2 linked regions of the Ovis aries genome follow. The protein of the gene in region 1 interacts with the protein of each later gene in a pairwise test. Links are inferred from orthologs where the notes say so. Each region holds a gene or a part of one and is shown on either strand. Other genes may lie near its edges.

What was found.
Region 2: the proteins of SMURF1 (region 1) and WFS1 interact in binary tests that used the Homo sapiens proteins (3 or more experiments, as listed by UniProt). The link is inferred for Ovis aries from reciprocal best matches to the Homo sapiens genes SMURF1 and WFS1.

What each region holds. Positions count from the first base shown.
Region 1 is NC_056077.1:37,602,750-37,606,958, forward strand, and holds the start of SMURF1 (E3 ubiquitin-protein ligase SMURF1), read left to right. Parts: upstream 1-1,336; 5' UTR 1,337-1,597; coding exon 1,598-1,652; intron 1,653-4,209. UniProt on the Homo sapiens protein: E3 ubiquitin-protein ligase that acts as a negative regulator of BMP signaling pathway. Mediates ubiquitination and degradation of SMAD1 and SMAD5, 2 receptor-regulated SMADs specific for the BMP pathway.
Region 2 is NC_056059.1:103,625,058-103,628,702, forward strand, and holds part of WFS1 (wolframin), read right to left. Parts: intron 1,829-3,645; coding exon 1,658-1,828; intron 1-1,657. UniProt on the Homo sapiens protein: Participates in the regulation of cellular Ca(2+) homeostasis, at least partly, by modulating the filling state of the endoplasmic reticulum Ca(2+) store.

The DNA.
Region 1 (4,209 bases):
CTCAAAGAGGAACAGAGCTGTATATTGGATCCACTGCTCTGTTGCTTCAACATAGCTTGTATTCTTGGATATTTCACTAGACTCATTCAAAGTCTGAGCTGCAAGGGGCCACAGAAATGATCTAGGTCTGTCCTTTTAAGTCACCGATGGAGGCTGGGAGAGGCAGCCTTGAATCCAACTCACGAGTCTTGAGCTCAGCAAGGGCAGGTGGGCATGTCAAGGGGCTCTAGGAAGAGGGCTCTATTCTGAAGACTGTGACCACAAGGAAGGTCCCCGGCTGCAGGGGATGGCTGCAAGGGATCAGAGCCTGGTTTCCTTAAGACACAAACCAAAGAAGGCATCCAGAGAACCAGGTAGTTGGTCAAAGACAAGTCTGATAAACAAACCCAGCTTTCCCTATCAACGTTTTTCCTCTTTATAACAGGTTAACGAGGGGTTTGTTTGCTGAAGAAAGCATAATGAGCTTTAGTTCCACCCTGAAACTCTGGCAGAAGTGTTAGCAGAAGGCAGGGAAACGCAGGCCTTAAAGCTACCTTTCTGTTTGGCTCAAGTGTCTGTTGACTGGATGGTGAAAACATCTACCTCTTTATCCGCCTCTCGCATCTTATTTACCTTGCCCATATATGGCACTTCCTGCGATTCTGGCAACTTTGTTACGGGTCAAGAGACAGCACTAGTTGCCCAGAACACACCTAGGGGACTTTGTCTCTTTGAGAAGTCCCTCCCTTGAATTGCATTTTTTAAGACACTCTTTACTCAAAGTAAATAAACAAACTGGAATTGCACGCCTATTCGTGCAAAGTCGTTGGTGTAGTCACAGACCTCGGTTTGCTGTAAGCCCGCTTTCAACAGCTCTCACGAGCTCAGAGCCTTAAGTGAGAGGCCTGGAAAATCGATGCCGTTCTCTGAACCTCAACGTCCGCATGCAAACCGGCTCCGTGGGAGAATGTGGCGGAGAACGAGAAAGCCCGCACGCGGGCCTCGCCGTCCCGCCCGCCCTGGGGCGTGCCCGGCGCTCGCTCCCGGCCGCCGAGGCTCTGCACGTCGCGCCGGGTCCCCAGGGCCTCCGATCCCCCTCCTCCGCCCCGGTGCGGGACGCCCCAACCACCGGCTTTGGGACCCTGTGCGCCCGGGGGCTGGGCCGGCGACGCGGGCGTGCTCCGAGCCCCGCCCCGCCGTCCCCGCGGGCGCGCGCACGCACGCAGGCGCGGGGCCGCACGGCGCGGGCGCGCGCAGGGCCGGGCCGGCACGGCGGCGGGCGCGCGCGCGGCTCCGGGAGGCGGCGGCGGCGGAAGCGGCGAGGGCGGCGGGCGTCCGGCTCTGAGGTGGTGGCGGCGGCGGTAGCGGCGGCGGCTCCGGACTGGGCTCGGCTGGGAGTGAGCGAGGGTCGGGGGCGCCGGGTCGAGCGCCGATCCCCCGGCTCGACCATCTGCCGGCCGTCCGGACGCCTGGGCCGCGGAGTTTGTGTCCCGGCTCGGACCCCGGCGCCCAGCCCGGAGCCGTAACCTTGAGGCGGCGGCGGCGGCGGGGCCGGGCCGGGCCGGGCCGGGGGGCGGCGGCGGCGCTGGATCCGCGGCTGCCCGATCGTTGGCGGGAGATGTCGAACCCCGGGACGCGGAGGAACGGCTCCAGCATCAAGATCCGTCTGACAGGTACGGCCGGCAGGAGGCCCCCGCCGGCGCCCGCTCGCAGCCCGCACGGCCCCTCCAGCAGCCCCGGAATTTCCCGCAGGGCGCCCCGGGGAGGCGGCCCTCCCCCTTGCCGGCCGCCGTCCCGGGACCGGCTCGCCCCCCTCGGCGGGCGCCCCTCACGACTCCCTCCCGGCCCCGCCCCCGCCTCCGGCCCCGCCCCCTCGCTTCTCGCCCCCACCCGCCCCCCGGCTTCCCTGCTTCCCCCCACGACCTGTCCCCTCGCGTCTCCCCTCCTGGCCTCCCTCGGTCTCACTCCCTCCATCCTTCTCCCCTCCTCGTCCCCCTACTTGGGCCTCTCGCTCGCCCCTCCCGGCCCCGCCCCCTCGCGTCTCCCCTCCTGGACCCCCTCCGTCCCCCCCATTTCATCCTCCACGCTCCCCTCTCCTCCTTGCCCCTCCGTTTCTCTCCTCCCTCCGTGCTCCTCCCCCCTTGCCCCTCACTTTACCCTCCTGGACCCCTTCCGATCTCCCCTCATCCTCCCCACTCCCCCTCACTTCTCCCCTCCTGGACCTCTTCCGTCCCCCGCCAGCCTCCTCGCTCCTCTCGCCCCCTTGCCCCTCGCTTCTCCCCTCCTGCCCCGCCCCTCACCCCCTTCGTCCCCCTCGATTTCTTCCCTCCCCCCTCACCTGCCCCCTCTCTTTTTCCTTCTCGGTCCCGCCCCTCTCTTCTCGCCAGCTTTTCCCATCCTCTGGCGTTTCCCTGTCTTCCCCCGCCCCCACCTGCCCCCTGGCTTCTCGCTCCTGGTACCCCCCCCGCCACCTATGTCTCCCCCTTCCCCCATCCGTGCTCTTCCTCTCTCCCCCCGCCCCCCACTTGCCCCCTTGCTTCTCCCCTCCGCGCCCCGCCCCTTTCTCTTGAGCCCCGCCCCCTCACTGGTTTCCCCCCGCATCCCGCCCCCCGTTTTCTACCTTGTCCCGCCCTCGCTTATCTCCCAGCCCCGCCCCCTTGCCTCTGTCTGGCGGCCTCCACCCTTTCCTTCAGCCTCTAATTCCTCCATCCAGTCTCGTAGCTTCTGCCGGTCCCGGTCCCCTCACTTCCCCTCTGGTCCAGACCTCTTCAGTCTGGGCCACTTCCTCTCTCAGGCCAGGCCACTATCTTCTCTTGACTCTGCTGCTTCAGTTCTTTGCGTTACCGTCACCCCTGTCCCACCCACCTCACCCCCCTCCCCGCCCCCGCAACACTCGCACGCACGCGCGCACACACGCACACTCTGGAGGCTTTGGCAGCTGCATTAGCGCAGGCTTTCTTGATTCACTCTCATTGAGTCTTCAATGAAATGCCCGTGTCTCCTAGGTGGCTCTGTAGTGCCACCTTCAAGGGTGAGCGCGAAGCTCTGTTCTCGGCCTGCGACGTGGTGGTTCTGGTGTGTGCCAGACGTGTCTGCCGGCCGTGCCCCTGGCTGGCGGGCTCCAGAGATCCTGGACCAGTGTGCACCCGCTTCTGTCTTTTCGTCGCTCTCCCCACTACTACTGCCCCGTCTCCCGGTTTAAATTCACACCTGAGGCTGGATTGTAGTGTTGCAAATACGGTTCTGCTGGGGGACTTTCCAAACGCAAATATTTCCAGCTCTGGAAAGGAAATATAAAGTTCAGGCTAATCCCTGTTAGGGGTTTTCCCCTGGATTTTTCTGTTCAGTGACTGGTCTGATGATGACTTCAGAGTCGGTCTGGTCAGATTCTTTAAAAAAGAGAATGAGCATTTGGGATGGCCCTCAATTATTGGTGAAATCCCTGAAAACAACAGAGAGTGATTTTTTTTCAAACTAAAATTTCTTCTGAGAGTTCTTAGTTGTTGCATGATCCATTTTTTGTTTCAAGGAAAGGGAGATAGTTTTTTTTGTAGAACGATGTCAGATCAGGTTATGATTAGATAACACAATCAGATCACAATGATTTGGACCCAAATCCAGACCCTGGTTTTGTCAATAGCAAATATGTCCCAGGGATTTTTGTTTCTGGAGAAATATAGTTCTTTATTCCAGGGCTGGTATGAAACTCTGTGTAGATGCAGTGTATACATTGTTTTATGGTTATGTAAAAGCCACGTTTTTTACTTTCTAATACTTATAAAACTTTAATGACTGACACCTTTCATTTGGTTCTCATTTGCAGCGTAATCTATAGTTGACATGAGATTGGTTTCAGGTTTCTTGTTAAGAGCAGAAGTAACTGATTTTGTGAGTTAGATAAAAGTGTGATTAATGTTTTAGAAGGACTAGGTTTTAATTACAACGTTTGTGTCAGGTGTATATTATTAATCAAGCCTAGTTAGCAGGTCTGGACCTGAGCCTTTTCCACCTGGAGTAGGGGTTGGTTCTTCCCAAATTATTTTCAGTTCCAGGAATTTATGATCTTTAGTTAGTTTTCAGCTGTGCTGGGTCCCGGTTGCTGTGCAGGCTTTTCTCTAGTTGTGACGGCGTGCTGGCTCCTCATTGCTATGGCTTCTCTTCTAGCCCAGGAGGAAGGGTTCTAGGGCACATGGGCTAGGGCCGCTGAGCCACCAGGGAAGCCAGTTTTCA
Region 2 (3,645 bases), on another chromosome or scaffold:
AGTGAGTGAAAGTCGCTCAGTCATGTCCGACTCTCTGTGACCCCACAGACTATACAGTCCATGGAATTCTCCAGGCCAGAATACTGGAGTGGGTAGCCTTTTCCTTTCTCCAGGAGATCTTCCCAACTCAGGGATCGAACCCAGGTCTCCTGCATTGCAGGCAGATTCTTTACCAGCTGAGCTATCAGGGAAGACCAAGAATACTGGAGTGGGTAGCCTATCCCTTCTCCAGCGGATCTTCCCGACCCAGGAATCAAATTGGGGTCTCCTGCATTGCAGGCGGATTCTTTATCAACTGAGCTATGAGGGAAGCCCCCATCCCCTGCAAGCCCCCAGAAACTTGTCAGTGTTCCCCATGCAGCCCTGGAGGGCTATGCAAGGGCCAACCCTTGGAACCCCTACTGCTCAACCTCCATCACAAGGTGACCCAGGCCCCATTGGGCACAATCTGAGCCCTGGACACACCACACTCTCTGATCAGCACAGCCTGCCCCCGGACATCTTTGCTGGCATTGTCCCTTGGTGTGATCTTTCCCTGGAAGAGACCAAGCTCCCCAGGGCAACTAGGCAGGCCTTCCTGTGTCCCCAGCCCTGGTGCAGAAGTTAGTTCAGTGGGTGAACACTGAGCCAGGACTGAGATATCCTGCCCTCTGTCGACACCTTCCCCCTGCAACACCCACACCCAGGCAGGCGTTCACTGGGGTCTCCCGTGTCAGGTTCCAGGTGGCCTTGGCAGGGTTGGGTCAGGTAGGGGCTGGACTACAGGGCGAGACAACACAAGGGGAGGGGCGCCGTGACTGAGAGGGGTCACGGGATCACAGGTGAGCCCAGAGCAGGTGAGGGAGCAGCAGGAACGGGGTGGGGACGTGGCCCCACAAGGTCGCTGGGGCCCCACGAGGGGCGGCTGGGCCTTTCAGGTGGAGCATGCCTCTCGGGGGTCCTGCCACTGGAGCCCCAGGCCTCATGGCCGCCTCTGTCAGGCCCCAGAGGATCAGAGATCAGACAAGTCCTGCCCGGGGAAGGGGCAGAGGTGCCCACCCACCCATCTTCTCTGATGCGTGGCAGGTGGCCCTAGCCCCACCGCCACCCCCAGCATCTCCCCCTTGGGGCAGAAGGAAGCTGGGTGGAGCCTTGGGCAGGTGCTTATCAAGGTTACCAAGAGACAGAAGTCAGCCCCGACCCTCCTGGAAACGGAGAGACCACACCCAGTCAGGGACGCCCATTCTCCTGGTCCATCTGTCCTTCCGGCTGCCCATGCCCTTCTCGCAAAGCCGGGTTAGAAGGAGGTGGGGGCACTGAAGAGGCTGGCAATGGGGCCAGCCCTGGAGAGGCTCTCGGGGATTCAGGGACCCAGGTCGCTGCTGGCAACTCTCACCCTCCCCACGCCCTGTCCCCTTCAGGAGGAGGAGGAGGACACCCTGGACACGCCAAGGCCTGCAGCTCCACCCATGGGCAGCAGGTGAGAGAACCCTAGGGGTGGAGTGAGTCAGGTAGAACCAGAGCTGGGGGGTGCCCTGAGGGGCGCCAGGAACAGGACACCCAGGAAGGATGCTCCGGAGCCTTACAGGACACCTGCGAGGTCCCCACGAGAAGCTCCCATAGAGCCCCCAGGATCCTGGCACAGAAGCCCAGGAGGCCCCACGGGCAGAGTGCATACCGTGCTCGTTGACCTGCCCCACGTTCTCCAGCAGCTCCGCCACAGCCACCTGCTTCTTCTTCTTGGGGTTGAGCTTCCAGTACATGACGAGGGCTGCCTTGCGCACGGCCCGCTCCAGGTCGGTCTCAGAGGAGAGCTGCCTCACTTCCTGCTCATTCTCGGAGGTGATGCCTGGGAGAGGGAGGCGTCAGAGGCCTGGGGTCGCCCACCCGCCTGCCTGGAAGCTGGCAGGGACGCCCCAGCCCCGGCTAGCCCCGCCTGAAGGGGCTTGGGAAGCGATTCCCACGAGTGGCTTTGCAGGCATCTTCGTCACCAGGGCAGAAACGAGGGTCCAGCCAGACAAGTGTCTGGCCTGAGTCCCCGAGGGTGGGAGGCTCAGCCTAGGCTTTCAGCAGATGCTCGCCGAGTGGCCGTGGAAGGCTGGCGCTGGGCAAGGCCTCCCCACCTTCCTGGCTCCTTCCCTTCCCAGGTTCCCCCTCACAAGGACCTCTCTGGTGGGGTGCTACTCTTCCCATCTCACAGATGGAGAAACTGAGGCACCCAGGGGTGGTGGTCTTGGTCTTGGCGCCAAGGCCACAGAGTCAGAGAGGCTGAGCTGGTCTCAAACCCCAGTCAGTCTCACTGCAGTGAGTGGCCAGGCTGCAAGACGGGGGGCACCCCTACACTCACAGCATCAGCCCTTCCGAGGGCAGCCAGAAGCAGTGTCCCCGCGTAGATGGCCCTTTCCCAGGGGGCAAGACTAGCCCACAGAAAGATGGGGAGCAGGTTTCATGGGCCATTTAGAGGCCGCCTTTCCCCCTGCACGTGGGGGACATCAGCCCGGCCACCCCCACCCCAGGGGACAGTGAGAATGGGGGTGGAGGACTGATATTTCTTTTCTCCTTTGGAGCATCTCCCTAACCTTCCACGGGAGTCCACGTTTCTTTTACGATCAGGATGCATTCAGTGTGAGAAGGTGGAGGGTGTGGGCCACGTGAGACCTGGCCCCCTCCCTCACACACCGGCCAGTCTCCAGGCCTGCCCTGGCCCCCTCAGGGCCTCTGGGAAGACCACTGGCTCCAACCGTGAATTCTGGGGGCCACACTGACTCAACTGGCCAAGGCAAGCCCATCCCACCTGCCCTAAAGCAAGAGAGACTGGCTTGGTAAGAAATTCTGGCCAGCAGAACATGACCGTTCTAAGTCATTAAAGCCATCAGCCTAATGTCCAGAGAAAGGAGATTCTATACAATAATAAATAATGTTAATAAATATAATTTCTATACATTAGATATACATACATAATAAATATATATACATAAAATAATGTATATAAATTTTGTTTTATACATATGTATATGATAACCCTAATGTTAAAAAAAAAAAAAATTCCAATATAAAACCAGAAGGAAAAATAGTAAACTACGGAGCACTTCTGAGTTTCGAGATAATTTCTATCTTTATGTTCTCTATGTAGTACAAGTTTTCTATAACAACCATAAACACTTCCGCAATCTGAGTGGGATAAAAAAGGCCCCCGTTATGACACACACACTTTCACCTTTCTTCTGAGGTTTGAACCTTCAGGAAACACTTTTCCCTGACACCAGGAATGAACCATTTCCCTTGGGCAGGATAACATAGTAAGTATCCCCAAGTGGCCAGGCTACACATCACTGTCCCCCAGCACCCACGCCCGTCCTGGCAGTGAGTGCCTGCCTGGGTGGGCCCTTCGCTGGGCCCCAGTCCCCAGCTGCTCCGCTTAGACCGGATGGAAAGTCAGTTCAGAAAGTGCTACTCCTACCTCAGGCCTGTCATGCCCTCCAATTTGGCTCCCTGGGCTATTCCTCAATTAGGATGAGAATCCAGATGGTATATCTCCTTGTAGACCCCACCACAAGTTAAAGAGGATGAAAATGGCTTTGTTCCCTAAATAGTCCATGTTATACTCCCAAACCATCTACGCGGAAAAGCCACGAGTGCAGCAGAAACCACTTACTTTTCCCCATG